Coturnix japonica: one gene and its partners. Each later gene encodes a partner of the first gene's protein in a complex. Links are inferred from orthologs where the notes say so. Each region holds a gene or a part of one and is shown on either strand. Other genes may lie near its edges.

Evidence for each region.
Region 2: RBM48 (region 1) and SNRPD1 share a complex: the UniProt entries of both Homo sapiens proteins name them as parts of the minor spliceosome. The link is inferred for Coturnix japonica from reciprocal best matches to the Homo sapiens genes RBM48 and SNRPD1.
Region 3: RBM48 (region 1) and SNRNP200 share a complex: the UniProt entries of both Homo sapiens proteins name them as parts of the minor spliceosome. The link is inferred for Coturnix japonica from reciprocal best matches to the Homo sapiens genes RBM48 and SNRNP200.
Region 4: RBM48 (region 1) and SNRPG share a complex: the UniProt entries of both Homo sapiens proteins name them as parts of the minor spliceosome. The link is inferred for Coturnix japonica from reciprocal best matches to the Homo sapiens genes RBM48 and SNRPG.
Region 5: RBM48 (region 1) and BUD13 share a complex: the UniProt entries of both Homo sapiens proteins name them as parts of the minor spliceosome. The link is inferred for Coturnix japonica from reciprocal best matches to the Homo sapiens genes RBM48 and BUD13.
Region 6: RBM48 (region 1) and PPIL2 share a complex: the UniProt entries of both Homo sapiens proteins name them as parts of the minor spliceosome. The link is inferred for Coturnix japonica from reciprocal best matches to the Homo sapiens genes RBM48 and PPIL2.
Region 7: RBM48 (region 1) and SNRPF share a complex: the UniProt entries of both Homo sapiens proteins name them as parts of the minor spliceosome. The link is inferred for Coturnix japonica from reciprocal best matches to the Homo sapiens genes RBM48 and SNRPF.

Annotation. Positions count from the first base shown.
Region 1 is NC_029517.1:20,668,736-20,673,355, forward strand, and holds the start of RBM48 (RNA-binding protein 48), read left to right. Parts: upstream 1-1,495; 5' UTR 1,496-1,697; coding exon 1,698-1,823; coding exon of another isoform or gene 1,824-1,913; exon of another isoform or gene 1,914-1,935; intron 1,936-1,993; exon of another isoform or gene 1,994-2,022; coding exon of another isoform or gene 2,023-2,136; intron 2,137-2,779; coding exon 2,780-2,970; intron 2,971-3,096; coding exon 3,097-3,242; intron 3,243-3,911; coding exon 3,912-4,432; intron 4,433-4,620. Other genes in the region: PEX1 (peroxisome biogenesis factor 1), read right to left, coding at 1-730, 820-934, 1,175-1,258, 1,352-1,495, 1,785-1,913. UniProt on the Homo sapiens protein: As a component of the minor spliceosome, involved in the splicing of U12-type introns in pre-mRNAs.
Region 2 is NC_029517.1:39,382,146-39,386,250, reverse strand, and holds the start of SNRPD1 (small nuclear ribonucleoprotein Sm D1), read left to right. Parts: upstream 1-1,305; 5' UTR 1,306-1,482; coding exon 1,483-1,496; intron 1,497-2,048; coding exon 2,049-2,125; intron 2,126-3,214; coding exon 3,215-3,406; intron 3,407-4,105. UniProt on the Homo sapiens protein: Plays a role in pre-mRNA splicing as a core component of the spliceosomal U1, U2, U4 and U5 small nuclear ribonucleoproteins (snRNPs), the building blocks of the spliceosome.
Region 3 is NC_029537.1:1,057,791-1,062,325, forward strand, and holds the start of SNRNP200 (U5 small nuclear ribonucleoprotein 200 kDa helicase), read right to left. Parts: upstream 3,121-4,535; 5' UTR 3,032-3,120; coding exon 2,987-3,031; intron 1,906-2,986; coding exon 1,742-1,905; intron 879-1,741; coding exon 707-878; intron 588-706; coding exon 395-587; intron 1-394. Other genes in the region: protein FAM178B, read left to right, coding at 3,485-3,755. UniProt on the Homo sapiens protein: Catalyzes the ATP-dependent unwinding of U4/U6 RNA duplices, an essential step in the assembly of a catalytically active spliceosome. Plays a role in pre-mRNA splicing as a core component of precatalytic, catalytic and postcatalytic spliceosomal complexes.
Region 4 is NC_029537.1:791,423-794,922, reverse strand, and holds SNRPG (small nuclear ribonucleoprotein G), read right to left. Parts: upstream 2,101-3,500; 5' UTR 2,014-2,100; coding exon 1,982-2,013; intron 1,785-1,981; coding exon 1,762-1,784; intron 1,633-1,761; coding exon 1,508-1,632; intron 1,023-1,507; coding exon 972-1,022; 3' UTR 850-971; downstream 1-849. Other genes in the region: protein FAM136A, read right to left, coding at 3,004-3,192. UniProt on the Homo sapiens protein: Plays a role in pre-mRNA splicing as a core component of the spliceosomal U1, U2, U4 and U5 small nuclear ribonucleoproteins (snRNPs), the building blocks of the spliceosome.
Region 5 is NC_029539.1:4,398,344-4,402,490, forward strand, and holds the end of BUD13 (BUD13 homolog), read right to left. Parts: intron 4,005-4,147; coding exon 3,896-4,004; intron 3,776-3,895; coding exon 3,682-3,775; intron 3,346-3,681; coding exon 3,240-3,345; intron 2,861-3,239; coding exon 2,722-2,860; intron 2,501-2,721; coding exon 2,316-2,500; intron 2,165-2,315; coding exon 2,083-2,164; intron 1,746-2,082; coding exon 1,652-1,745; 3' UTR 736-1,651; downstream 1-735. UniProt on the Homo sapiens protein: Involved in pre-mRNA splicing as component of the activated spliceosome. As a component of the minor spliceosome, involved in the splicing of U12-type introns in pre-mRNAs.
Region 6 is NC_029530.1:470,333-474,384, reverse strand, and holds part of PPIL2 (RING-type E3 ubiquitin-protein ligase PPIL2), read left to right. Parts: intron 1-171; coding exon 172-247; intron 248-1,453; coding exon 1,454-1,614; intron 1,615-2,516; coding exon 2,517-2,592; intron 2,593-3,776; coding exon 3,777-3,883; intron 3,884-4,052. UniProt on the Homo sapiens protein: Has a ubiquitin-protein ligase activity acting as an E3 ubiquitin protein ligase or as an ubiquitin-ubiquitin ligase promoting elongation of ubiquitin chains on substrates.
Region 7 is NC_029516.1:41,569,872-41,573,219, reverse strand, and holds SNRPF (small nuclear ribonucleoprotein F), read right to left. Parts: upstream 1,824-3,348; 5' UTR 1,670-1,823; coding exon 1,667-1,669; intron 1,583-1,666; coding exon 1,457-1,582; intron 1,356-1,456; coding exon 1,291-1,355; intron 817-1,290; coding exon 750-816; 3' UTR 691-749; downstream 1-690. UniProt on the Homo sapiens protein: Plays a role in pre-mRNA splicing as a core component of the spliceosomal U1, U2, U4 and U5 small nuclear ribonucleoproteins (snRNPs), the building blocks of the spliceosome.

The DNA of each region.
Region 1 (4,620 bases):
CCATACTCTATGACACTCTTTAGGTCTTCAAATCCATTCCAAACGATCTGAACAACAGACCCCTCACTGGACGCTTGAATGTTACTGGAATTTTTTTTGTCTTGCGTACTAGTCAAATGTTTTTGCTTTTCAGATGGCAGATTTTGCTTTGCTTCTTGATGACGCTGTCTGGGGGAAAGCAGCCCGTTAATTTTCCCATAAGTTACTACAGCATTTGGATCCAAATCAGTATATTCTAAATTCTGTGGAAAAACATGAATGGCACCGTGTTTCAGAAATGCATGAACAGCTGATGCGTTCTGTACGCTGGGAGGCTGGGACTGGCATACTCTAAAAATGGAATCCATGTGAATTAAGTTCAGCAGCTTGTCTTTGAAGGCGCTCATTTCATCCTTATCACACAGAGTCTTTTGTTTCTGTTCAGCTGTACGAGAGAAAATGCTCCCTATGAAATTCCACATATTTGGGAGAACACTTGAGCCAAACGTCACATTTGCATCAGCCTTACTCTGTTCAGGGACTCCTGGGTTTAAGTGAGGTTGACTGGCAAAAGGCTCCTTTACAGTTACGTCTTGCTCCATGCTATTCTTCACAAAGCTCTTGAGTAAGATGTCACCTTCTGTAGAAGGCATGTCTACGACGTTTTCCTCAAGCTCACGCGCTTTGGGGCAGATCAGAAGCTCCGTGCAAGGTTCTAATCTCCCATAGGGGGCTGCTGGCATAAGTGTACCTGAGTATGGATAAATCAGATGAATGAATGCATCCACTCTTGCAAAACAGCTTACTCAAGGCACCAGCAAAGCATTCACTGCTGCTTACCAATTCTGATGTAAACGTGAGTGTGGTGTTCAACCCAAACAGGAAAGATGGCTTTGGGGAATACGATTCGGATCTGGTCCAGAAGATGCTTTTCAAGAGAGGAAGCGTGCAGTTCCTGGGAAAGTGTGGTATCATTGTAAGCTACACACTTGTACAACCTTTAAAATGTGTTTGAACATAGAAGATTCACATCTTTTTCTAATACACCATTTGAAACATAAAATACAATGAAAACCCACAAGACTTAGCATTTGCTTAGGAGCAGAAAAGAACGGGGGATTGCGACAAAAGCTTGTATCAACATTCTCTGTCATTTGCATGAAAATGATGTGAACAGTGGGACAGGTTTTCTTACCAGTATTTCCCAATCATCTGCTGAGAGCGGTTCCACTTCTACTTGCTGACAGGAGGAGACGTGTGAACAGGGCTCCACGAACACCTGATAGAAGCAACATTATTTCTGAATAATTTAACTCCTTAAACACATAAAACCTCTACTCAGAAACTCAAAAAAGGGACCTGCATTTCAAACCTGTTCTCCATCTGCAATGCCAAGCTTCTCTGCTAAATGCCTGTTCATCTCTGCGATATTTTCACCCCGCTGACCTCGATGCCTCATTTCCATCCAGCTCAGGTAGATGGGCTCATCACGGCAGGATACTTTGACAGCTTGGCCCTGTGATTATCAGGCAGATGAAACGAATTACTATCAAATCATACTCAGAAATACTCAGACCCATCTGGGTCCAGGGGCGAGGGGTCCCGGCCCGTTCGGAGGATGCACAGTCACCACAGCGACAGTGCGGGGGGCGGCTGGTTGCCCTGCGCTGTCGCTGTGGTGACTGTGCGTCCTCTCGAGGAGGGCTCTGAGCACCGCCATGATGACGGGATACGATGGGGGGAGGAAGGAGAACCTCTCTCCCACAATCCCCTCCGAACGGGCCGCCCCCATCTCGTCCCCGTACCTGCTGCAGGCGGAGGTGCGAGGCCAGCACGGCGGGCAGGTGAAGGAAGCAGTCCCGGGTCCCGCTCAGCACCACCGTCACCGCGGCGACTCCAGCGGCCCCTCCGCCGGGGTTACCGCTGCCCCACATGCCGCCAGCCGGGTGGGCCGGGCTGTAGTTGCTCGTTCCGCCCGGCTTCTCGGCAGCGCCCACTTCCTTCCCGGAAGAGCCGACCGGAGCCGCGGTGGCGGCCGGGAAGATGGCGGCGGGCGGTGCTGGCGGGCCGGGGGAGGCGTGTAGGCACCACCAGCAGCTGGGAGCATGCGGGTCCAGGGCCAAGTACCGCGAGGGGCGGCGACCCAGGGCCGTCAAGGTGCGGGGTGAGGGCGGGTGGGCTGCTGGAGACTTGTTTAGTCCGCAGGTGTCGGTGCTCTGACATCTGGAGAAGCATCAGCTCCAGCTGATGTTCTGTGATGTGTTCATCCCTGCTTGAGTTCATCCCTGCCCGCGGTGGCTCCACACAGCGGGCAGCACGAACGCTTTGAGTTGTTGTTTTCGCAGTGAGGTAAACGTGGGCATTTTAGAGCATTGAACAGCATCTCCCCTATGAGGAGAGACTTAGGGAAGTGGGTCTGTTTAGCCTTGAGAAAAGAAGGCTGAGAGGGGACTTGATCCAGGTTTATAAATACCTGAGGTGGGGAAGCCATAGTGGTGAGGCTGGTCTCTTTTCAGTAGTGCGTGGGGACAGGACTAGGGGTAATGGGATGAAACTACAGCATAGGAAGTTCTGCATTAATGTGTGGAAGAACTTCTTTACAGTGAGGGTGACGGAGCACTGGAACAGGCTGCCCAGGGAGGTGGTGGAGTCTCCTTCTCTGGAGATATTGAAGACCCGCCTGGACGCCTACCTGTGTGACATGGTGTAGGGAGCCTGCTTTGGCAGGGGGTTGGACTGATGATCTCTAGAGGTCCCTTCCAACCCCTACAATTCTGTGATTGTCCTGTGCTTCTTTCAGGTGTACACCATCAACTTGGAATCGCGTTATTTACTAATCCAGGGAGTTCCTGCGCTGGGCGTCATGAAGGAGTTAGTGGAGCAGTTTGCCTTGTACGGAGCCATAGAAGAGTACCATGCACTTGATGAATATCCCGCAGAGCAGTTCACTGAAGTTTATCTGATAAAATTCCAGAATCTGCAATGTGCCAGGTATTATACACAGCACTATCTGCCTTTTGTTGTTTTAATCCTTCACGGCCCCTTTATGTATGATCTACATCATACAGAGTTGAAGTAAAACCCTCAGCTCTGCTAATGCCATTTAGTTTCCTTCAGGGTGGCCAAGAAGAAGATGGATGAGCGCAGTTTCTTTGGGAGTTTGCTGCACGTGTGCTACGCTCCAGAATTTGAAACAGTCCAAGAAACCAGGGAGAAGCTGCAGGACAGAAGGAAGTATATTGCAAAAGCAACAAATCAAAGAGGTTTGTAGTTAAATCTCATGTCCAGTTTTAATTCCAGTGGTTGGTACGTCTTGGTAAAGCCAAAAGCATCCATTGATGAAAATATACTGTGTTTAGCTGTTTTACATTAGGACATTTCTCAGTTATTCCTAGAGATGGACCTTTCAGAAAGCAACGTTTTAGTTAACATGCACTTTAAAGCTTTTAAACCTCATTGTTTCCTTCATTTCTTTTCAAAACGTTACCTGAAATTTTAAGTACTGCCAGGAAACTGAGGATCAGTTTGTTCCCCTTGTTACAGTTCTTTCAGGCATACCCAAAAAGAGAGATTAGTAAGAGAGCCCCCTCCCTGCCCCTTATTTCCTGCCTGTCATTTGGGTCAGTAAGGAACACGAGGAATGGATTGGGCTGACAGGCAGCTTTGCTGCTGAGTTCCCAGGCAGCGCTGAAGGCTGGACAAGCTGTAAAATAAGTACAATGCCAGGCACAGGCTTCTCCTTTCCTATGCTTATGTACTTGGATATCATTATCCACTGCAGGTGCTGCTTAAGCAGAATCACAGGAAGGTGACTGGGAATGAAGTATTGCTGGTATTATTTCTGTCACTGTATTGAACACTTTATGTATTAGAACTAACAGTGGCATAAAATAATGAAGCTGTTTTCCTTTTCTTTTCTTGTTGTTTTAAAGACTGCTTTCTGTTGAAGAAAACAGAGAGGCCTCGGAGGACCAAGTCTGATTCTCAGTGGAGTACCCCAGGATCACATGCAGCCACTCACTGGGATCCATCCTGCTTTCCAGTTCCTCATGGGTTGTCCCAAAACATGGAATATCCTTCTGGCAATCACAGTCAGGACCTTTTGGCTTTTCCCCACTGCGACAACCCCAGTGCTGAAACCTCTGGGAACTCCAGTCAAAGCTCATCCCTAACTCAGAAGGCGCATCCAGGAGGATGTGCTGCACCAGTGCCTTTAATTCAGCAAAGAACAGTTCCAGCTGATAACGGCATTGACAGGTTTATGCCTCGTACAACTCACCTGCAGGAACGTAAGAGGAAGAGAGAAGAGGGTAACAAATGTGCCCTCACTGAAACAAACGTGGACAGTACTGACATCGTTATTGGCCCACAGCTACCAGAAGTACCTCAGGTGGATATGGATGATGATTCACTGAATACATCAGCTATGCTGATTCGAAATAAGCTGAAAGAGGTATGGATTCGTAAAGTTCTGATATTTTCATTTGCACACATCCTTTTAAAAGAAGTACATTTCTAAAACACTTGCCAAAACCACATTTTTTTTCCCTTCCCAAAATATTCAAGTCCAGAAAGTGTATCAGACCTTACTTTAAACACCTCTGCTACGGAGAGCAAGTGGTAAAACATTAATTCTGTCTA
Region 2 (4,105 bases), about 19 Mb from region 1:
TTATGCTAAAGGCCCAAAGTTCTCCATCACTTTAAGAATGGTTGCAATGCAAAGGTGAATTTGGTATTGTTTTTGCTAGTCAGCTGCTTCTGTTCTTGATGTTGTTGGAATAACTCACAAAAAAAAGGAGTATGGATCAGAGGAGGAGGTGTCACCCTAATGCCATGTTGCACTTGGGAGCAGCTTCTTGCTTTTCATGCATGATGTAACACACTTTAAAAGGAAAGGTTTTTTTCTTTAAAAAGCTACAAAATAACATGTGCTGGTTAACAATAAATGTGTGTCTTTAAATTTAGTGCTTCCAAGCTGTATAAAAAACAAGTAATCCTACTTGAGGACCAATTTTAAACTATTTTGTCACTTATTTTATATGGTTTGTTCAAAACCAGCCGTGAAACTTGCTTAAGGCGCTGCACATTGTTTAATATTTCCTGTAAGTACAGCTGTATATTCAGATTGCAGTTATAAAATGTAAATGGGGGGAGAAACGTGTAGAATCTTAGAGCTAGCACAGTTGTTGTTACTGAGGTTAGAACACAAAGCACTGATACTCCAGTGTTTCACTGTGTTGTGACTGAAACTGTGTACAGACTTTTGCAGTTATCTGTTCATTTTAACCTTGAATGTTGCTGGAGGCTTCTGGTTCTATGTGAGCATAACCTGCACATAAACATCAGTACTCACCATGCCTCTGTCTGCTTCTCGATGCTGTGCTGGGAATACCAATTGGTGGTTAACTGGAAACTCCTCTCTGACTTCATTTACCAGTGTCACCTCTGTCATAGACTCAAAGTGCAGGAACACCATAAACTCAGTATGTAATGGTTCTTACGGCTCTCGGGCAGCTGCCCTCTCAAACTTGGTTCTTTGCGGTTTGTTTAAAGCAAAACATAAAATAACAGATTTCATGTGGAAAAGAAGAGCTGTGGTGTGTGTGTAGGGATGGAGGGAGAGACGTGGGTTAACGTGGGTTCTCAGAGCTGGAGGGCAGCCAGATCTCAGTGCTTTACAAAAAGAGTCTGTATTGCAGAAATCACAACAGTGTACTCATCAATGATAATAAAAGGTCTGATTTTTCTAGATCCTGGCCGCTGCGTTTGTGTGCCTGAGCTCCTTATCAACTGCTTAACGTAGAAGCATCGCTGGTGCGGACTAGACTATTTGCACACAGCTACAGTGCTTAGATACGTATAATCCCGAGCCCACCATTCCAAAATGGCGGCAGCGCATCCCCTCAGTGCCCGCCCGCCCTCAGCCCCGCGCAGTCGCGCTGCGTCCCGCCCCTTCCGCCGCGCCGCTTCCGCCCATTGATCGCAGCCGGCGGCGGCCGCTCAATCTCTCGGGGCTCGGTGCGCTCGTTGGAGGCCGCGTTCCTGTCCGCCCGCGCTCGCGGCGCTTCCGCCGAGGCCTTTTCGTGCCCCCAGGGGCGGCCGCCGCTGCCCGCCGAAAGCCCCGCGGCCGCCGCGCCGTCCCGCCGGCGCAATGAAGCTCGTCAGGTGAGCGGATGGAGGCGGATCGCGGAGAGAGGCGGCGGGGAGCCCGCGCAGGCCGCCTCCCCCTCCCCACACACAGGCCGCCCGGCCTGTCGGGGCCTCGTTGCGGCCTGGGCTCTGCGGCGAGCGGCTGGGCCTGCGAGCGGGGCTGCCCGGGAAACCACCCCGGGGGGTTGGGGGCGGAGCCGGGTGGAAGCGCCTTCACGCGGTGCCGAGATCCAAAATGGCTGCTGCTTAGCTGGTGGTCAGAGAGCAGCCCGAGTTGGACGGGATGCACGAGGGATCCCGAACCCAACTCACGCAGGGCGCTCAAAACACAAACCCTGTGACTGGAAGCGTTGTCCCGACGCTGCTTGAGCCCGGTGCCACCGTTTCCAGCCCCTGGCAATTGGGCGCCGTTTGGGGCTTTGGCTTTGCCCCATGGAGCACCTTCAGTGCAGTTCATGGCAGCTGAGAACGTTTGCGTTAGGATGTACATCGATCGGTTCCCCGTATCAGCATGTGGTTGGACATAAGGCTTAGTGTGACAGCAAACACTCTGTGCTTAATTCCTAGGTTTCTGATGAAGCTGAGTCACGAGACTGTGACCATCGAGCTGAAGAACGGGACGCAGGTGCATGGCACCATCACAGGTACGGTGTGCCAGCAGCCTCCCAGGCTGATCTGAGCTGTGTGGGGTAAAGGAAACCGGTGCTGGCGTGGCTGGTGTAAGTGTGGTAATCTGAAATTACTGCAGCAGCATGCAGGCATTGTGAGACAGTGTCACTGCTGTATCAAAGGGCAGTGGTCATACAGCCTATCCACTTATGTTTCAGAACATTTTGGGGCTGGAACTTGAAGGTCCCTTCCAACTTAAACCGTTCTGTGATCTCATTGGTAAAGCTGCAGTACACTGTAGTTGCATCAAGAAGTCACCACTGAGTCACTGGCAGAGAGATATTTTTCTAACGGTAGCACAGATAAATGGTAAATGCTGAACATGGTTACAATCTACTGAGATGTAAGGGTTAAAAGCACGTTATTTTGCAGCCAGATCCGTCCATTTTGTTAGAAGCTGGCTGTGGTGGCAGCACTCTGTGCCTCCTACCCTTGTACTCTCACAGCCTTCGCTGTTGAGCAAAGTCTCTCTCATGCTGTGCTAAGAACCTGTAAAACCCTGCAGTGCCATCCATGGTTCTAAAATGACAGTCATCCCTGTACATGGGTGTACGAAGCCTGTTGCAGCCACGGTGCCACCTGCAGTTGGTGCTTCTGATGCTGATGTTAGATGTGTTTGATCAGAAGATCATGGTTGTACTTAGAAGGAAACGCAGTGTTATTTTTCTACTCAAAAGTTCGTTTTCTTTCTTTTGAAAGGAGTAAAAAAGACAAATATTATGCTTTTGTAGTAAGTGGCAGTTTATTTGTTGTCCGGAGGAATCATTTTAAGTGTTTAGTGTTGCTATGACTTAAGACCTAGGAACAGATCCCTACAGCTGGTGGTAAGTGGCTCTTCCTTTGGAAATATATCAGTGTTGAGGGCAGCAGCTGATAAATCAGCATAATTAATAGAGGAAAAAAAGATGTAGTTTCTTCTTCCACTTAAGAGGCTTAATTAACAAATGGCACAGATCCAGAAGCGTGTGTTAGCAAAGTCTTGAAGCACGTGCACAGTTAATAATAGCCAAAGAGGAGTCATCCTGTGTGTTCCCACCCCTGAAATCAGCCTTGTGTTATTTCAGGAGTGGATGTCAGTATGAATACTCATCTCAAGGCTGTGAAAATGACGCTGAAGAACAGGGAGCCTGTACAGCTGGAGACATTGAGCATTCGGGGGAATAACATCCGATACTTCATCCTACCAGACAGTTTGCCCCTGGACACCTTGCTAGTAGATGTTGAACCAAAAGTCAAGTCCAAGAAAAGAGAAGCAGGTGAGTGCATGATTTCCCAGTCTCTGCTTGTTTTACTTTGTGTTTTCGTGCTCTCGCTCTGAAGGCATGTGATTGGAAATCTTAATTTCTGTATTGCTTTCATCTCTGAGGGTTTGTACCGAACTCTGCCTTGTGTACCTTCATTGTGTCTGTAGTCTCCTTTCATGAGAAGTTATTTACACAGCTTCTCATGCATCTGTTTTAAAGTGTAAACGTCTTTAAGTGTGAGTAAATCTTAACCTATGGCATTCTCAGAGGCAGCACCAATGGGATGCACAGTTTCTCTTTTCAAAATGTCTGCTCTGTTTCCCTGGTTTCTGTGTGTAACTTTGTATTTAGCCTAATAAGAAAATATAGAGCAGCCTCAGGAGCGGTGCTGGACTGAAATCTCACTTGGCAGTGGATACAAACAATCTGCTGGAGAACCGAATTGAAGGGGCTTCAGAATGCAGAGGGAGCTGAGGCTGTGTTCCTGTGGATAAAGCCCTTAAAGCCTAACAGAATAGGGAATGCTTCTGGTTTTGTTCTGCGCCGTTAACAATTAATATCCAGTAAACTCCACAAAGTTTGTGTCTTCAGGCAGTAAAAGTTTTGCCCAGCAGTGTTAATCAGTGTGTCTTTCCAGAAATAAGTTAAAGGTAATCGTGCTCTAAAGCAACTGCTTGCCATTTCTCCTGTAATTTATGCTTAATTATTTGG
Region 3 (4,535 bases), on another chromosome or scaffold:
GTTCTAAATCTCATTGTCACTATCACAATCTGTGCCCATACCCATGTTCTGAGTCTCCTTGTCACCAGCATAGTCTGCCCACAGCCATGCTCTGAATCTCCTTGTTACTACCATAGTCTGTGCCCATACTCATGCTATGAATGTCCTTGTCACCACCACAATCTGTGCCCATACCCATGTTCTGAATCTCATTGTCATTATCATGATCTGTGCCCATACCCATGTTCTGAATCTCCTTATCATCATTGCAACCTGTGCCCATACCTGTGTTCTAAAGCTCCTTATCACCACCACAATCTGTGCCCATACCCATGATCTGAATCTCATTGTCACTATCACAATCTGTGCCCATACCCATGTTCTAAATCTTCTTGTCACCATAATCTGTCCATACCCATGTTCTGGATCTCCTTGTCACCACCATAATCCGTGATCTTCTTGCCCAGGTTCACCAGCACGTGATAACGGGTGTCGTCAGTCTGGCCCAGCAGCAGATCGATCTCTTTACGTCTCTCCTTATCACGCAGCTTCTCGTTCTTCAGCACTGCCAGCACTTCATCAGCAGCTCCACACAGAATGTCTCGTGGCTGGGGAACAACCAGCAGCCACATAAGCAGGAGATCACCATAGGGGCAGATATTATGGCACAGATATTATCCCCCTTGTGATATGGATGTGCCCCCATCACACACATCCAGCTCCTCACCTGGTCCCCGAGGGCAGCCTGGATGAAGCTCAGCAACACCTCGTAGGTCTCCCGTGTCTCTTTGGTTTTAGGCTTGTAGATGATCCCCACCATCTCGTCGATGCCCTCGGACAGCAGAGTGTAACCCTTCATCTTGTTGATGTCGTGTCTGTCCTCATCGCGCTTCCTCCTCCTGCAAACAGAGAGCACCCATAGCAGCTCAAAGCAGGGAATCCCAGTAATGCTGGACAGCAAAGCGTGGGCCTTCCCTTTGTTAAAAATAAAGGTAAACTCTGCCCCGTTTTTCCTCCTTTTTAGCCCTTTTCCTTTCACTTTTCGCTTCCCGACAAGGAGAGAGAATGAAGCTGCAAAGGGTCTGGAGCCAGTTTACAATGAGCAGCTTAGGGAATGGGGTTATTTAGCCTGGAGAGAAAAGGAGAAACTCCATATCTGCCTCAAAGGAGGACACAGCAGTGAGGGGGGGTTGATCTTTTATCCCACAGCATCACAAGAGACCCCAGCCCTGGGTTGAATTGGGGAAGTTTTGGTCGAGGGGAAGTATTTCTACATTGGGAAAGCTGTGAAGGATGCTGAAGGATCAAAAGGTGTGTGTATGTGGTGCTTGGGGATGGGCTGATGGATATGGGAACGGCTTTGGGGTAAAAGAGGGGAGATTTAGGGTCACCTTCTTCACTATGAGGGTGGTGGAACAGAGGAGCTGTGGGTGCCCCAACCCTGGAGGTGCCAAAGGCGACTGAAGTTGTGTTGGGTATAAGCTGGAGGGGGGCACCAGGGCAGGAGATGAACCTGGGGGGGCTCTGAGGACCCACAACTCAACCACATATAACAACCATATATGTTGGTATCTGACCATACACCAACACGATACCACCACTCAATGCCACCACTCAGTGGTGTATGCACCAATTGGGATCCATCACCTCACAGCTCTTTCCCAACCTCCATCACTGTGTGATTCCACATTGCTTATAACCACTGAAGCCCCACAGCCCCCTCAGAGCCCCCTCCCACCCCCAGGCCCCGCTCAGCTCTCACTTGGCCCGTCGCTCCTCCTGCATCTGTGGCTTGGTGCGCTGCGCCTTGTCTCCCATCCGCGTCCCTTCCAATTTACCCACCAGGGACAACACTTCACCCGTGGGTTCATCGCGTCGCGTCCGGTCAATGAGAGAACGGTCAGCTTGGAGCACGAGGTTGGAGTTCTGGGGGGGGGATGGGGGTCACAATGCATCAGGTGGAGCCTTTATGTTCCTACAGCCTTATTACACAGCCCTATATCCCTCCCACAGCCCCTATTATCCTCCCCACAGCCCTATATCTTTCCTAGAACCCTTATTACCTTCCCCACAGCCCAATATCCCTCCCACAGCCCTATATCCTCCCACAGCCCTTATTATCCTCCCCACAGCCCTATATCCTTCCTACAGTCCTATATCATCCCCACAGCCCTTATTATCCTTCCCATACCCCAATACCCTCCCCACAGCCTTTATCACCCCCCCACAGCCCTATATCCATCCTACAACCCTTATTTTCCCCCCCACAGCCCTATATCCTTCCACAGCCCTATATCCTCCCCACGGCCCTTATTACCCCCCCACAGCCCTATAGCCATCCTACAGCCCCTATATCCTCCCCACAGCCCCTATTACCCTTCCCATACCCCAATATCCACCCCACAGCCCTATATCCCTCCCCACAGCCCAACATCCTTCTCACAGCCCTACATTCCTCCCATAACCCTTATTACCCTTCCTATACCCCAATATCCTTCCTACAGCCCTATATCCTCCCACAGTCCTTATTTTTCTTCCTACAGCCCAATACCCTCCCCACAGCCCTTATTACCCTTCCCATACCCCAGTATTCTCCCCACAGCCCTATATCCCTCCACAGCCCTATAAGCATCCTACAGCCCTATAAGCATCCTACAGCCCTATAAGCATCCTACAGCCCCTATATCCTCCCCACAGCCCTATATCCTTCTTACAGCCCCTATTACCCCCACCCCACAGCCCTATATCCTCCCATAGCCCCTATTATCCTCCCCACAGCCCTATATCCAGCAGCCCCCACCGCCCATAAGGGACGCAGGCCGCACCTCCAACCATCTCTTAAAGCCCCCGGCTTCAAACAGGCCCGGTTTAAATCACCACAGGCCACACAAGGCCCGACAAGGCCTCACTATACGAGATCCGCCATATTGGCCCCCGTTAGACGGGGAAGGCCCGGAGGAATGAGGCCGGCATCCCCACCGCGCACAGGCCCCGAGCCGGCACTCACCGCCTTGTACTCGTACTGCAGGCTGCGAGCGGTCACGTCCGCCATGTTGCCGCCCCGCCACCGCCGTGCACGGGAACAGGCCCTGGAGCTGAACTTCCGGCGGAAGCGGAAACAACGGAAGCGGAAACAGCCCGATCCCGGAAGAGGTTCCGCACAAGGCCTCCCAGCATGCACCACGGCAGGGGCCCGTTGACTGCAGCTCCCAGCATGCACCGCGGCAGAGGCCCGTTGACTGCAGCTCCCAGCATGCACCGCGGGAGGTGGGGGGCGGGGACACTCTCCACCCCTTCTGATTGGCTGAGAGCACAGGTGGGCGGGACACTTCTCTTCTTTAACCAATCCCGTTCAGCGCGCGCGCTGATTGGTCGAACCCTCGAGCCGCGATTGGCTGCCGGGCTCCTGTCGGCAGTTAAACGGCCAATCCCGCCGTTAGTAGCCGCACTTGGTAGCGCCGCCTTTCTGAGGAGAGCCCGCCCTTTTCTCTCACCCCGCCCGCCCATGGCCGCCATGTTGCGCGGGACGTCGGCGCGACGAGGTCAGCGGGCGGGGCTGCTCCGCTGGTACCAAATCCCGCTGTCCTCGGCCCGTGTGCCCCGCTCGGGGCTCTTCAGCTCGTCCTTCCAGTACAGCCTGTGTTCCTACCAGCAGCTCCGTGTCAGTAAACACCTCCGGGTAGGCCGCCCCTTCCTCCCGCCGCCGCTCGGCCCAGTGGATCCGCGGCCTCCGGCCTCACCGCCCCCAATGAGGCCTCAGGGCGGAGCACGGACAGGTGAGAGAGGACGGGGGGGGGACCATGTTTGGCCCCACATAGAGCAACACAATGATCCCCTTGTATAGCCAGGGTCCTATAGAGCCCCCACTGATCCCTATTGAATCCTCAGAGCCCCTATAGAGTCCCCCATTGATCCCTATTGCTCCCCATTGATCCCTATTGATCCCTATTGATCCCTATTGATCCCATTGATCCCTATTGATCCCCACTGCCCCTATAGAGTCCCCCACTGATCCCTATTGAATCCTCAGAGCCCCTATAGAGTCCCCCATTGCATCCCCAGTGCCCCCCACTGGTCCCCATTGCATCCCCAGAGCCCCTATAGAGTCCCCCATTGCATCCCCAGGGCCCTATAGAGCCCCCCATTGCATCCACAGTGCCCTATGGAGTCCCCCATTGATCCCCATTGTATACCCAGAGTCCCTATAGAGTCCCCCACTGATCCTCTTTCTATCCCCAGAGCCCCCATAGAGCCCCCCATTGCATCCCCAGGGCCCCCCACTGATCCCCATTGCATCCCCAGAGCCCTATGGAGCCCCCAATTGCATCCCCAGAGCCCCTATAGAGTCCCCCACTGATCCCCATTGCATCCCCATTGCATCCACAGAGCCCTATAGAGTCCCCCATGGATCCCTATTGAATTCTCAGAGCCCCTATAGAGCCCCCCATTGCATCCCCAGTGCCCCCCACTGATCCCCATTGCATCCCCAGAGCCCCTATAGTGTCCCCCACTGATCCCCATTGCATCCCCAGGGCCCTATAGAGCCCCCCATTGCA
Region 4 (3,500 bases), on another chromosome or scaffold:
TCTGTTGAATAAGTCAGCTTGTTAGCATTAAATCTCTCTGCTTCTGCTTTTTGAAGGGGTGTATCAAGGATTGTACCCCATCCCCTTGGGGTGGGACTGGTGAAGGGAAATGGCGATCATCTACTTGCTGCTGAACCTCACTCATGTCTTAACTACGTAGTAAATACCATGTTGCCATTACAAATAAAAGCAACACACTGGTTTGAATGTAAGCAGGTGCTGCCTTGAACTGTTGTCTGTGTTACCTGCATTGTGCTGTGTCTCAGAGCTGCTGCTCGGTTCTCCATCAGCAGAGTTCTCCTGTACCAGCAAGTTGTGCTTGCTTAGCTCAAACTCCCACTAACAAGCCTCCACTAGTGTAGCCTCACTCTTGCTGTGCTAGAAAAGATGAATGCACTTGATTAAAGCTAAATTGCAGGACTTGCACTGAGATTAGCAGCATCACAGGAGTCCGTACGTGCTGGAACACGATTCAACTCTTAGAAGCTTGCTGGTACCCTGGGGTCAATGCTTTGTTCTGTCTGCTTGGGGGCAATGAGAATAACCAAAACCACTTTTGCCTCAGCACAGAGGTGGAGACCAGCACAAAGTTGCAGGCAAACACTTGAGCAGGACAGATATTTCAGTCCCCTTCACTCTTTACAGAGCAATGCTAGGAATAGAAGTGCCACAGCCTGTTATTTATGGGGGGGGGTTTAAAGATATAGCCAGTATCATTTGAACACCCACTCAAAGAAATAAAGCTGCCTGAAAGCCATCCTCCAGCTTTAAAGCTGCCACTGACACACTGCTGCACTCACAAGATTAACTGCCCCAGGCTTCAGTTCCACCAAGCACAGCTCACACGGGTTACACCAACCAGTACAAAATTTATTTAACAAAAAATAAGCTTACACTTGTGGTTGCTTCATTAGGTTCAGGTGAGTAAACAAAACACAACGGGGTCGGGTCACTACAGGGTTCCTCTGCCACTATACTCGTTCCAAAGCTTCCAGCATAATGATGCTGTTTCCTCGTATTACCTACAAAGAGAAGTTGTCAGCAGGAGGTGAGATGAAGCACGTTATGCCCACAGCACAGAAGGTTTTCTTTCCCTTTGACTTTTCCTCCTAGAAAGCTGCATGGCATGTGCAGCTCCAAGAGCTGAAGTGAATGAGAGAACTGCAGGGGCTCATGGCAGCAGTCAGCCGGCTGGAAAAGGCTCCTGCAGGAGGGTGGTTGATAGAAAAGGTGGATGAGAGCTTGATATAAGACAGCAATGTATTCTTGTGACCTCACAGCCAGCTGGGCTGCCACCCCTCTGTTACTGCAGCAGACACGGAGGGCTCTGTCCCATCCTGCTCTGCCCTCCTGAGGCTGTTCCCCATTCCTAGAGGTGCCCAAGGCCACGGATGGGCACTGGGAGGCCTGAACTGAAAGGAAGCCCCCAGCCCAAAGCCCAAAGCCCAAAGCCCCCAGCCCAAGGCACAAAGTGGGCCTGGGGGCTGCCATCCCCCCCAGCACTCACCACCATCCCGATGTTGTTCTGCTGCCCTCCAGGCGCCATCTCCACGCACTCATCGATCACCAGGTTCATGAAGGGGTCGAAGCCCCGTAGGATCCCCTGCACGTGGCGGCCGCCATTTAACTTCACTACGAGAAACCGGCTCATTCAGAAACAAGGGGAGGGGGGGGTTAAAAGGGAAGGGAGGGATGGGGGGGGGGGGGGGGCTTTGTGAATGTGGGCTCATGGCACAACCCCGTTATAACAGCGGGACTCACACGACAGCTTCTTGTCCATGAACCTGCAACGAGAGCGCAAACAGAGCAGGCCGCATCAGTGTGGGGTCGGGACCGCCATCATTGCGGGCCCAACCGGACCCAGACCGAACCCGAACCGGACCCCACGGCCCCTCCCGACCCTCTGGGCCCCCCTCATCCCCTTCAGTCCTCCCTTATCCCCCCTCATCCCCCCTCATCCCCATGTTGGCCCAGCTCTCACTTCTTCAGCTCGGGTGGGTGCGCTTTGCTCATGGCGTCTCCTCAGCGCCGCTGCCGCTCGCGCCGCGTAATGACGTCATCACGTCGCACGCTACGCCCAAAGCCCCGCCCCCTTTTCCCGCCAACCTTCGCATCTCGCCGGCAGCCAATCAGAGCGCTCGGACGCGGCGCGCGTGCGCGTTTGGAGCGGCCCCCATGCAGCACGTGCATGGAGACCTGCAGCTCTGCTGCATTGCATGCACCGCGCATTGCACACCCACTGTATGCACGGCATTGCACACACACAAAGGCACTGATACACGTATTGCAAGCCCTGCACGGCTCACCGTGCACACCTTGCACAGCCATCGGCTCACAGCTGGCAGTGTGCACCCTTTGCACACTGCACCCTTTGCACACCCTGCACCCTTTGCACACCCTGCACCATTTGCACACCCTGCACCATTTGCACACTGCACCCTTTGCACACTGCACCTTTGCACACTGCACCTTTGCACACCCTGCACCCTTTGCACACCCTGCACCCTTTGCACACCCTGCACCATTTGCACACCTGCACCCTTTGCACACCTGCACCCTTTGCACACTGCACCTTTGCACACCTGCACCCTTTGCACACCTGCACCCTTTGCACACCCTGCAACATTTGCACACTGCACCCTTTGCACACTGCACCCTTTGCACACTGCACCCTTTACACACCAGCACCCTTTGCACACAGTGCCCCACACCCTGCAGAAGCACTACCCCACACCTTGCACACCTGCACACACCTTACGCAGCCATCACCCCACACTTTGCACACCTGTACCCTATCTATACACTGCACATTTGCATGGCTCATCCCACCCCCTATACACTGCACAGCCATCACCCCATACTTTGCACACACCCACCCCATACATTACACAGCCACCACCCCACACCTTGCACCCCCACACCCCAAACCCCCAGCACCCCTCGAGCACCACGAGTGCAGCTCCTTGCCTTTAATACCACCTTCCCCCACCCCAACAGCACCCGCTAGTGCTGTAGGGCCGCCAAGCCATCCCGCATCCTCTTGGCCATGCCTGGCACCAGGCGTAGGTGCTCGTCCCCACAGGCAGCAACGCAGGCGTCGAGCTGGGAGCGTGCCCTTGTCTCCCCACCGCCCGCCTCCAGGGCATCCTTGGCTCTGTCAGAGCAGTGCAGCGTGCAGCGGCTCAGGCGGTCCTGCAAGGGGATAAAGGGGCATAGATCAGGAGAGTGATAGAACCACAGGGGTTGGAAGGGACCTCTGGGGCTCCCCCATGGTGATAAGCATTGACTGGATCCCCTCTCAGCCTCTGCAGGTGAACAGCCCTCGGGGCTCTCAGCCTTCTCCCATCAGGGGATGCTCCTCCAGGCCTCCACCATCTCTATGTCCCTACATCAGCTCCCTGCCTGGAGCTGAGCAGCCACAGCTGGACCCAGTGCTGCAGATGCGGCCTCAGGGCAGAGCAGGAGCACCTCCCTCACCCTACTGGCCACGCTCTTTTTAA
Region 5 (4,147 bases), on another chromosome or scaffold:
TTTACCTTCCAAGTACTTGCTACTTCTCTCCTGCTTCCTGAGCTCCTGCTGCTCTCTCCACAGCATGTCAGCTGACACCAAGCCAGCTTTGACCCCAGACATCATCTTGGCCTGCAAATCAAACAAGAATCACATTTCACTGCTTATAATAGTAAAAACATTCAGGCAGTAATGACAGCAAGATCCACCCTCACCTCCTAAAAGCTTCCACTGTTTGTTCTGAACTCCTCCATGAGCTTCACTTCATCTGGATGCTCATCAATAAACTGCCACCTGAAGCTCAGATAACAGACCAAACAAACAGCTTAAGACAATAAAGAAAGAGATCCATGCTCTCTAAACAAAAGGGTCCGGTGGAGCAGCTTGGGAGCTTCTTCTTGCAGCGGTGGCGTTCAGTTGTGAGGTACAGTGGTGACACTCATTGGTAGAGCATCTCAGGCTCACAACCTTCCGATGCTGTTGCTATGTAACCCTTCCATACAATGTCTGTTACCAACCCGTTGTTTTTAGTTAGAAATGCTTTCTTGCAATCAGGGATGGAGCGCAGCGCTCTGCTTGGCCTCCAGCTGCAAGCTGGACAAATCTAATCACAAGAGAGAGGTTATGCTTCGTGCTGAAGCGAGCCCCCAGGCAGCAGCGCTAAGAGCCATCAGCAAGGCTGTCCAGAGAGAAAGCTGTAGGGACTAATCCATGACCATTAGCTACTCTGAAGAAAATAATGGCCAAGGGAAACAGTTTAAATGGCCTCTGCGTGTTTATTGCCACAAGAAATTGACCCCCAAGGAGCTGCTGGAGCTTCTGAAGACTTTGCTGTCAAATATAACATGGCGTGTTGTTCATTCAGCCATTTCTAGTAGAGAACTAGAGTTATATGTACAGCAAGCAGCTTCTTGCCACATACTGACCCACCTGGCACAGCTCCCATAAGGGCTACAGGAAGCTCTGCTGTGCTAACTTCACTGCAAGCCAAAGACTCCAGGAACCAGAAGGGTTAAGAGTTACACAACATTGAACAAGCAGAAGCTCTCTGGGCTCATTAGCAAGGACATGGAGAACATGGGGCAGACATAACATGAGCCCACAGGTAAATCAGCTCACAGTATTAAGTTGTTTCAGAGCAAAAAACACCCTCTGGAAGAACTCAGCCATAGCTGAAACCACAACCGTGTGCTGCAATAGGCCAACACACCAGATAGGATTAACCCTCCATGACTTAAATCCCAGCATGCTTCCACCATGAAATAAACCTGAGATTTAGGACATCTGAAGACCTGTCAACTGCCTTCAGAGGACAAAGCATTTGGCATAGAACATTTCAACACAGTTTCTACAGTTTATTAGTAAAGAAATAAGTGGGTCAGACACCAGTGTCTGCAGCACCTCATGAAGGAACACCAGGGAGCAGAAGTGTTCCTCTGTGGGCAGCAGCCACTCCAGTTTTTGGCACTGGTCCTTTCTGGCTGGCAGGAAAATCCTTTTCCAGCAGCTCTCCTCTAAACACAGCCTTGCTTCCAAGAAGACAATCCACTGGGATACTGAATGCCAAGAACAGTGCTTGGTCCAGGCAGAGGAGCCGTTACTTTTGGCTCTGGCAGTGGTAGCAGGCAGATCTCAATTCAGTCGTGCTGTTTCACATGGTTATTTCTTCTATCTACATGTCTTCAATGCTCCACTTGTATGCCAGCTCCTGAACTGCCTTCTTATTGGCCATCCTGGCAAAGAACTGCTGCTCAAATCCGTTGGACCTACAAAATAACACCAACAAGACCATGGGCTACCGTGCACATCTACTAAAGCCACAAAGCTTTTAAATGACATCACATGTTTGCCACTACTTTTGCATCAACACCTCCAGCTGAGTTTCCACTCTGAGCTGTGGCAAACAGCAGGCAGTGCCACAACAGATCAGAACAGAACCTGGCTCCCTTTTGTCCCAGACAAGCATGTCCCTACCAGCCATTCATAACCATGAGAAGTGTTAAGGTTGAATAAGTTGCATCTCACTCACTGTAAGCTCTCTGAGGCAAAAGCTCATTTAGTTTTACTACCATTCAATGACATCAGTGTATCAGGAATACCTACCTGTCCACCCCATCCCAGCGATACCCAGGCCATATATTAAATCTGTTGAGAGGAGGTGCTGGTCCACTGTACCTAGGTTTCTCTAGAGACAAAAACAGCAATACAGACATTGGTTACTACAATGCAATCTTCAGGACTCAGCTGCCACAGCAACCTCACACTGTTCACTGAACAGCAGCTGCATTTCTATGCTCCTTGGGCATTAAAACCTGCACCAGCACAGCTTTCCATACCTTTCTTCTCCTTGTTCTCTTTGGCTTTTCTTTTTTTGATGAACTCAGCCATGGGGTCTCCTTCTCTCTCTTGTTCTCTCAGCATTCGATCCAGATCTTCATCGTCAATGTAACGGGCCAATGGTTTCTGCATTTCTTTTATTGCATCTTCCACATTCTGCTGCTGCTGCCTTTCCTGTGCTAATCTAAAAACACATACAAAGTACCACCTCAAAACTAAGGAATAATTTACTGCCATCTGCTCAAATTGTAGTATTGATCAGAATCTACTGTGTGTAGCATCCCTGAGAAGCACCCAGCAACAGACAGGGTAATCCCACACAAAATAACCTGGTCCCAGGCACAAAACTCATTGCCAACCCCCAGTCTGCAACCTGTAAAGTGACATGTCACCAAGACACCTTACCCCTTTCCCCATCTGGCATATTGCTCATCATGCAACAACTTTGCTTCATCTTTCTGCTTCTGCTCAAGACGTTCCTGCACAAGGTCCCTCTTGCGGCCTGACTTGTCGCGGAAGATGGTTTCCGTGTGTCGGGATTCCTCTAGGGATAACAGATATCCTGAGTCACTCACGTGGGAATATTTCAGTTTCCAAACCACTCCATAGCTCATGCAATGAGCTATAGGTGTAACAGCCTGCTCCTTCAGATCAGGAATAGCAGATGGGGCAGATGAGACACAAAAGCCTCACAATTGTCTCATTGGCACCTCTTTGAAATCACCACTCATAAATTTCTATTTTAGAGACCCAGTGGCTTTTACCTGTGTATATTCATCAGCATGCCTGGATGCCAGCCAACACAGACACTCTCCATCAACACCCTTACTACCAGCATTTTAAGACATGCCCTGATACAGCATTAACAGGCAGCCAAAAGCAGACTAAAAGCTGATGTCTGTGCACTGGTTTCAGACTTTTACCTTCCAAGTGCTTGCTACTTCTCTCCTGCTTCCTGAGCTCCTGCTGCTCTTTCCGCAGCACGTCAGCTGACACCAAACCAGCTTTGACCCCAGACATCATCTTGGCCTGCAAATCAAACAAGAATCACATTTACTGCTGGCTGAGAGCTGCCCAGTGACTCACAGGTATGATAAGGGGAAGTTACACGAGAGGCAGCTCTGTTACAAAGCCACTTTGCTGCCATCTTTGCAAACAGCTTCCACAGACTTCCAGAAATACAGAGTGCTCATGCAGAGCTCATCTTCCATCTACCTCACACGTGGTCTTATGGCAAACTGACAGTGTGGCACAGCTGCATTTACAAGCTATATATCTGCTCTACCATCTGTAAGCCATCACACTGTTAATGATTGCTATCAGAGGAAGCAATCTTCAGCACAGACGGAAAGACAAACCCCTTACCTTCTTGGGAGATCCCTTCTCATCTGGGTAGCGATGATCTGAGAGATTGGAGGGACTCCTTGAACCACGCTGACCCTTTCCAGAAGGCAGAGCCCTTTGAGGATGAGAGAAATTGGAGCATGAAGACTTGCTCTAAACACATTTAAGAGGACCGTGCTTATGAGAATCACTCATAATTCACATTATGAGAATTCACATGTGGAATAGACCTAACCTGTGATTCTTCCGCTGGGGAGAAAGGTCTGCCTCAGAGGCACTTTGGGCACCTCTTCGTGGAGGTGGAGAATCAGAGTCATGACGCATCTTTTTTACCGAGGAAACATCTGCAACACAAACATACATTAATAAGAACCACCAGAGGCCTAAAGATGGTGACAGATGAGATAACCCACAGTAAAATCAAAACCTTCAGTGAGGTAAAGCTGTAGGGAAAGAACAAGCATTGACATCAGCCTTTATGTTCCAT
Region 6 (4,052 bases), on another chromosome or scaffold:
ATTTAAAAAATGGTGTATTTTTTTTCAATCGATCTGATCTGGAGATTATGGTATTTAGCGTCTCTTCCTGTTAGTTTGTTGCAGAGGTGTCTGCCCTTCCAACTGATCTGCTGCATGAAATGGGTGCCCGTGGAGTTCTCTGATTGTGTTTTTCTTAATTGTTATTTGCAGGATCCAACAAACCTGGATAAATTCAATGTCTCCAACTTTTTTCATGTTAAGAACAACATAAAAGTGGTTGATCCAGGTAAGGCTGAACTTGAAGGTAGGCTGAGAAAACAGCAGCCTGAATTTGAAACCGGCCCTTTTGCATCAAAAATGTCAATAAATTTTGTATCAAAGATGTGGTTTGTTTAGAAATCATGAGCTGTCTGTGAGTATCTGTGAGTGCTGTGCCGACACAGAAGGTTGTCCTTTAAGAGTATGTGGGGAGGGAGAACTGAAAAGAGGAGGAGAAATGATTTGCCAGTATCCTCTCAGCAGAGCCAGGAGCAGCAAAGCTCCATCCTGTCACAGGTCGCTCCCACCTGCTGTGTGCTGGGCACTCTCATGTCAGTGCTGTGGCAGCGTGCTGTCTGTCCTTCTGGCTGGATGGCAGCAGACGTCTTACAAACTAAGACTGATACATTTTTCTAATATACCCCTAAAATTATTTCAGTACAAAATAAAGTACCTTTTTTGTCCTTCTTTGTGGGTTTTACAACTAAGGACTTTGCAAATTATTTATTTCTATTCTTTGATAGCTAAATGCTAATATTACATAACTGGAGGAATAAAGTCTCTCCTGTGTCCCTGGGGTTTCCACTGGAATTGTTTCTGATACTGTTTGCATATTCTGAGCATGGTGTGTTTTTCTGAGTCTTAGCTGTGCTCAGCTCCTTAAGGCTGACTCTTCAAGCATCTCTTTCTCTATTACCCACTTATTTTTAGAGGGTAATATCTGAAGGATGGAATGTTTAATTTTCAGTGAATAGAAGACATGCCAAGATGAATAAAACTTGCTTAAAACGAAGAAATTCTCCAGGTCTAACCCCACTTCCTCCTCCTGGTGTCCCAGTAAAGGTCTGATCTTGGGACTTCTGCATTGCAGACCTGGTCATTCAGGGGACAAAGGACAGGATTTGATGTTGTACCCAACAGGCTGTTGTCTTTATTGTTCTATAGAAGTAATTTGGTTAGACTTGCATGAACTTGGATAATTCCTAGAGGTTCCTAAGAGATTTCTGCAACAATTGAAATTGATTTTCTGTTTTCACGATCATATCAGCATTCATTGTGTCGTGTTTCAGGTTACCTTGTCTTTAGTGTTACACATTGCTACTTGTTGCTTCTGCAGGAGCAGATATAGTTACTGGACTTTTTATTTTAAAAATGTAGAGAGATCTGGAAGACATTCGTGTAACAAGGAGTGTTTTTCTTTTAATTTGGAATGATTTAACTTTGTCTTATCTAGATGAAGAAAAAGCAAAATTGGATCCATCTTATTACTTGAAAAATACAAATACAGAGACCCGAGAGACTTTACTGGAGCTTTATAAGGAATTCAAGGGTGATGAGATTCTAGCAGCCACTATGAAGGCTCCTGAGAAGAAGAAAGTGGATAAGCTGAATGCCGTAAGTTGACGCAATTTGTACTTGGCACCAATATACTTCTTGAAGAGAGAATATTGCAGGACAGACACCATCCCTTGTGTTCTCAGTTACATGGAAGTTGATCATAGTTGCGAACATGAAACTCATACTGGGATTCCATTGCAATGCGTCGTGTGTGTCAGTGAGTGTCTTTGTTGAATCATTACAAATGAACCCAAACTCTTTAGAAACAGAGCAAGAAGGAGGATTCTGTCTTGTATGGTCATTATGTATGTGCTGGGAGAATGTTTTCTCCCAGGTTGCAATCTCCTGCTTTGAATTTGTTTGTCATTGCTTCCTGCAGTTACTGGCAGAGGGAACACACCTTAAGGGCAGTACAGGTGAATCATTTCTGGTGTGGGCAAATACATAAATCAACTTCAGTTGCTTCCCCATTTTTTCTACTGTGTGTTCATGGTTATCCAAAGAAACATTCGTCTGCATGTAGATTTCCTCCAGCCTGGCAGAGTATTTTTCTTTCCTTCAATCATTCTGGGATGTCTGTGTTTTCATGCTTTGATTATGTTTGCACAAGAAAGAGTAGTAATGCAGCATATGGCCTTTTGTGAGGAATAAATTCTGATAATAAAATCTTTGCGTAATAATGTGTTGAATTGTTGTTGAAGGAGTAAACCACTTCAGCTCAGTGCCTGGGCAGCCTTCACTAGAGGCGAAATGTTACGGGGAACAGATGGAGAAATACCAGTGCATCACATATCTGTCCCTTTCTATAGGAGCTAGAGCAGGAAATCTGACTTCAGAAGTATGATGTAAATGCCGCTTGTGTGTTTACACTGCTTGTGCAGTATCTAGTACATATATGGTATTTAAAATAGATTCTAAGATCTAATGTATTTTTCTTTTGCTTCTTCTTCTGCAAACAGGCCCATTATTCCACTGGAGCAGTAAGTGCTTCCTTCACCTCCACTGCAATGGTACCTGAAACTACCCATGAAGCAGGTACCAGAACTATGTATTACAAGCTGTTTGCTTACCTTGCAGTTTTAAGGTGTGCTCCCTTGAACACACACTTTTACAGGGATAAGGAATGCGTTGATAAGCAGTTAGTGACGATGCAGAAATGTATGTACATTCCAGTGATCTCATTCTGGAAATAATGGAGCTATTATGCGTTAGCTTAATCTCTGAATGGCAGTTACTTACAACATTAATTTCAGTTCCATGTATTTTCTATGCCTGGGACCCACAAAATGGGGTATCTGCTTATGTAAGTTAGCTGTGAAGTGTAATCTCTCCTGGTATTGCATACAAAATCTTTACCACCCTTTTGGTCTAACCTAGTTTGGTTAGATTAACAGCAGGTTTTTTAATGATAACTTTTGATTTACTACTTTTCAAAGTTGTAATCTATGCGAAAGTACATTTCAGTAATGTAAAGATTTTCTTTCATTTTCTAGCCTCCATATAAATCTGTAGGCCTAATTAAATGTGAACACTGATTAAATAGTTGAGCAGTTAGCTTGTCTGTGTGGAGAGATGTCTGGCTTTGGGCTCTTCAATGTAAAGTACTGAACGAAGATGGAATGCCATACTGAAATGACATGGTTACCAGGTCGTGTTCCTGAATTACAGTGGTTTACACGTGAATCTTTGAGCATTGGAAGTGTTTGACTAATTGGATGTTTTGACACAACAGGAGTGGAAGTATTCCAGATTGATCCCTTGGTTTGACTTTCCAGTAATGTTTCCAGTAATTTAGCTCCATTTGTTTCCAGAACTGGGTAGATCCTCCATATGTCAGCAGTTTGTGGTTGGCCGATGACAACCTGTTTAACTTCCAAGTTTGACAAGAAATTATTTGGTTTCAAAGTAATGTTTGTGATTGGCAGACGTTACTTGAAAATTACAGTATATGATATCAAATGTTTCTGTGACTTAAAAGCAGATGTATGTAATTTATATATTGTATTGTTGGCTCTCAAGGAGTTGGTGGCTTTCTGTAATGGAAAGTGGTTTGCACAGAGAGATTAATGTGAGGCTGTCGGAGATAAATTGCCGAGTGCCACCCCTGAAGACCTAGTGCACTCCAGAGGAATAAGCCAGAAAGCAGAATCTAGTCATTTGTTTGCTGATCAATGAATAAACTTCTAGAGACCTAATTACTGCTTTTTGTTTTGTTACAGCTGCTATTGAAGATGATGTTGTGAGATACCAGTATGTGAAGAAGAAGGGCTATGTACGACTTCACACTAACAAAGGAGACTTAAACTTGGAGCTGCACTGTGACATGGTACGGTATGCCCTGTAGGCTGCAACTTCTAATTTATCTCTAGGTAACAAATACAGGAGGAGCTGGCAAGGGAAATGTCCAGAGATGGGGAGCAATGTGTAGTTGTAATAGACACAGGTGAGTAATGAGCTCTTGGTGATTTTGGTGTGCCTTCTGCATGGAGTTTCGT
Region 7 (3,348 bases), on another chromosome or scaffold:
AGGTGTTTTCATGATGATGGCACCACCTGCTGATGAAGCATTAAGATGAGGCACAGTTGCAGTGCCCTACCCACAGCTCAGTGAGCCACGCTGATATGGGAGCAGGTTCTGTTTACACCTACTGTGCTGGGGAGTTTTAACTCCACAGCTGGGTCACTGCCTTTTTGCTGTATTTAATCCATCTGTAGCACTGAAAGTATACCTGTGTATTTGAGAATAGATGTAAGACAAATGGTCACTGATGAGACAGCGCAAAGTCACACACAAATCCATGAGGTACAGCCATTTGTGTTTTGGCTTGTAGAACCTCTCTCCAGCCTAGAGATGCAAGTAGATCCTTCACAAGGGGAGGCTCTGACTAGCAGCATCAGCAAAGCAATGGTTACCTTTAGGAAATGCTGATAGGTACAGAACAGCTTCGGTTAATGTCAATGGTTGCTCTTAACATTTGAGAAAGCAATTATGTTCCTGCCAAAACTTCAGTTATCTGGATGCCTGATAACAAAGAGTGGCCTGTTGTTAGTGTTTTGTGTGTTCTTTCCATAATACTGCAGATTGAGATCAGGCATTCCCATTCCACAGGCTGTTTTAGCTCTATGAATGCCACTGAAATTCATGACTCTTTATAGCCTCTGGGTGAACTCCCCCCATAGTCAAATACAAGAACAAAATAAACACCTGATGACAACGTTGTGGAAAAGAAAAAAAAAAAAAGAAAAAAAACCCTTTATTTCCAGATATACAAATCATCATTCTCTCATTTCTCCATCTTCTTCCTCTTCTTCCACACCTCTGATGTACAAAACATTATTGCACCTGTAAATAGAATCAAGAGCTCCCTTAGTTGAAATGTCTTAATTTCCCTCGCAAATACAATGTTCACTTCACATGGGAGTTACAGCAGCATTTAGTGCTCCAATACACAGAATCACACAGAATCACAGAATTACCCAGGTTGGAAGGGACCTCAAGGATCATGTAGTTCCAACCCCCCTGTCTGGCAGGGCCACCAAACATACACATTTACTAGATCAGGTTGCCCAGGGCCCCGTCCAACCTGGTCTTGAACACCTCCAAGGACGGGGCATCCACAACCTCACTGGGCAGCCTGTTCCAGGACCTAACCACTCTTCTAGTAAAGAACTTTCCCCTAACATCCAACCTAAATCTTCCCTCTTTCAACTTAAAACACAAGCACATCCCCTAGATCCACCAGCTTCAACAAAGCAGTAACACAAGACACAGAAGTCCCCACAAGACCCCGTTCCCCAGCTCAGGCACCACGATTACCTTATCAAAACTTCTCCCAGGTGTCCAGACAGTGCTCCATCGATGTACTCTTCTGTGTTTGCAAGCTTGGAACGAAAATCAGCACAAACATTACACCAACAGGAGCCTCACTACTGCTTCCCTCCCACAAGCAAGCAAGGCCCGGGTCCCTCCCTCCATCCCTCACCTGCATGTTCATGTAGCCGTCGACGGAGACGAGGTATCCCTTGTACTCCATCCCCCACTTCAGCTTCACCATCACCGGTTTCCCCGTCAGCCCGTTGAGGAAGGGCTTCGGGTTGAGCGGCAGGCTCTAGGGGAGAGCAATGGTCAGCACCGCCCGCCATCCCAACCGCTAACGACAGCCTCCCCCCACCCTGCCCTGCCCTGCCCTCACCATGGCGATGGGGCGCGATGGCGGCCCGAGAAGCGCAGAGCCAGGCGGGATCGCCTCGTGCGCGCCGCGGGCTGAGGCAGAATGGAAGGCAGCGCTGAGATACCTTCCACTTCCACTTCCGTGCCGCCGCGCCGACCTCCAACCTCTCACCCCGCCGCGCCGCCTTCGCGATTGGCTACGGAGCCACGGAGCGCGAAGGGAAAAGGGGTTGTGGGCTCAATCTTATTAGTTGGAATGGCCGCCCTCCTCATTGCTCCAGCCAATGGTCGTATACCACCTCTGGTTGTGTCGTCTGTGGTGGCCGGGGGGTGGCAGCGCAGCACTGTGCCGCCGCTCTGCTCTGTTAGGCCTTTGCCCCTCCATCCCTCTCCTCCCCTTCCCTGTCCACCTCTCCCTCAGCCCCCGGCTGCCTCACACCGTGTCTTCTGCAGATCCAGAATGTCCCCCCTCACATCCCTACCTTTATGGATGGATAGGATAAGAGCAGCAATTACGATTCTTCTTAATAAATGTTTATCTGAAGTGCACTCGTATTTGTTTCTGTGATAATTTATAATGGATGTGTTTGTCCTCATGTGTTGGCTGGGGAACAGAGATAACGTTAAAATAAAGCTTTTTTTTTTCTTTCTGACAGTAAAACTCACTGGGCGCCAGTTGAAAGAGAATTGCTTATAAGTTTATTGCAAGGAAGTTAGTGCTGAGGATATGTAGGAAATAATAAACAATGTGGGAAATCGTGTATATGGACGGTTTTCATGCCCCTTGCAGCAAAGAATAGAGAACTTGGAGTGAAAACATACAAGGCGTCAGAATGCAATGAGCTCAGCATGAGTCCTTTGGGTTAAAGGCCATGGAAGACTTGCACTTTTCTGACAGTTGTTAATGGTGTATATGTGAATGACAATAGAACAATATGAGTGTTTTGTCTGTAAACAGCACTTTTTAGGTTTGGAACCAACTTTTATCATGTCTCCTACTTGTGTTGGGAAAGCTGTGTACCAAGAAGTACAGGACCAGCTACATTCTTTTCTTCATATAGTCAGTTCCTCTGATGCATGACTTGGAGAAGGACTTGGGGGTCCTGGTGGATGAGAAGCTGGATGTGAACCAGCAGTGTGTGCTTGCAGCCTGGAAGGCCAATGGTGTGCTGGGCTGCATTAAAAAGGGGTGGCCATCAGGGAGAGGGAGGTGATCGTCCCCCTCTGCTCAGCTCTTGTGATGCCCCATCTGCAGTACTGTGCCCAGACCTGGAGCCGTCATCACAAGAAAGCTGTGGAACTCTTGGAATGGGTCCATAAGAGGGTCACTAAGATGATCATAGGGGTGGAGCACCTCTCCTATGAAGAAAGGTTGGGGGAATTGGGCTTGTTTAGCTTGGAGAAGAAAAGGCTCCGGGGAGAACTCATTGTCGCCTTCCAGTATTTGAAGGGAGGGTAGAAATAGGAAGGGAAACAACTGTTTATGAGGGTGGATGGTTGTAGGACAAGGGGGAATGGTTTTAAATTGAGATGGGGAGGTTTGGGTCAGATATTAGAAGAAAGTTTCTCACACAGAGAGTAGTGACCCACTGGAACAGGTTGCCCAAGGAGGTTATGGATGCCCCATCCCTGGAGGCATTCAAGGCCAGGCTGGATGTGGCTCTGGGCAGCCTATTCTAGTGGTTGATGACCCTGCACATAGCA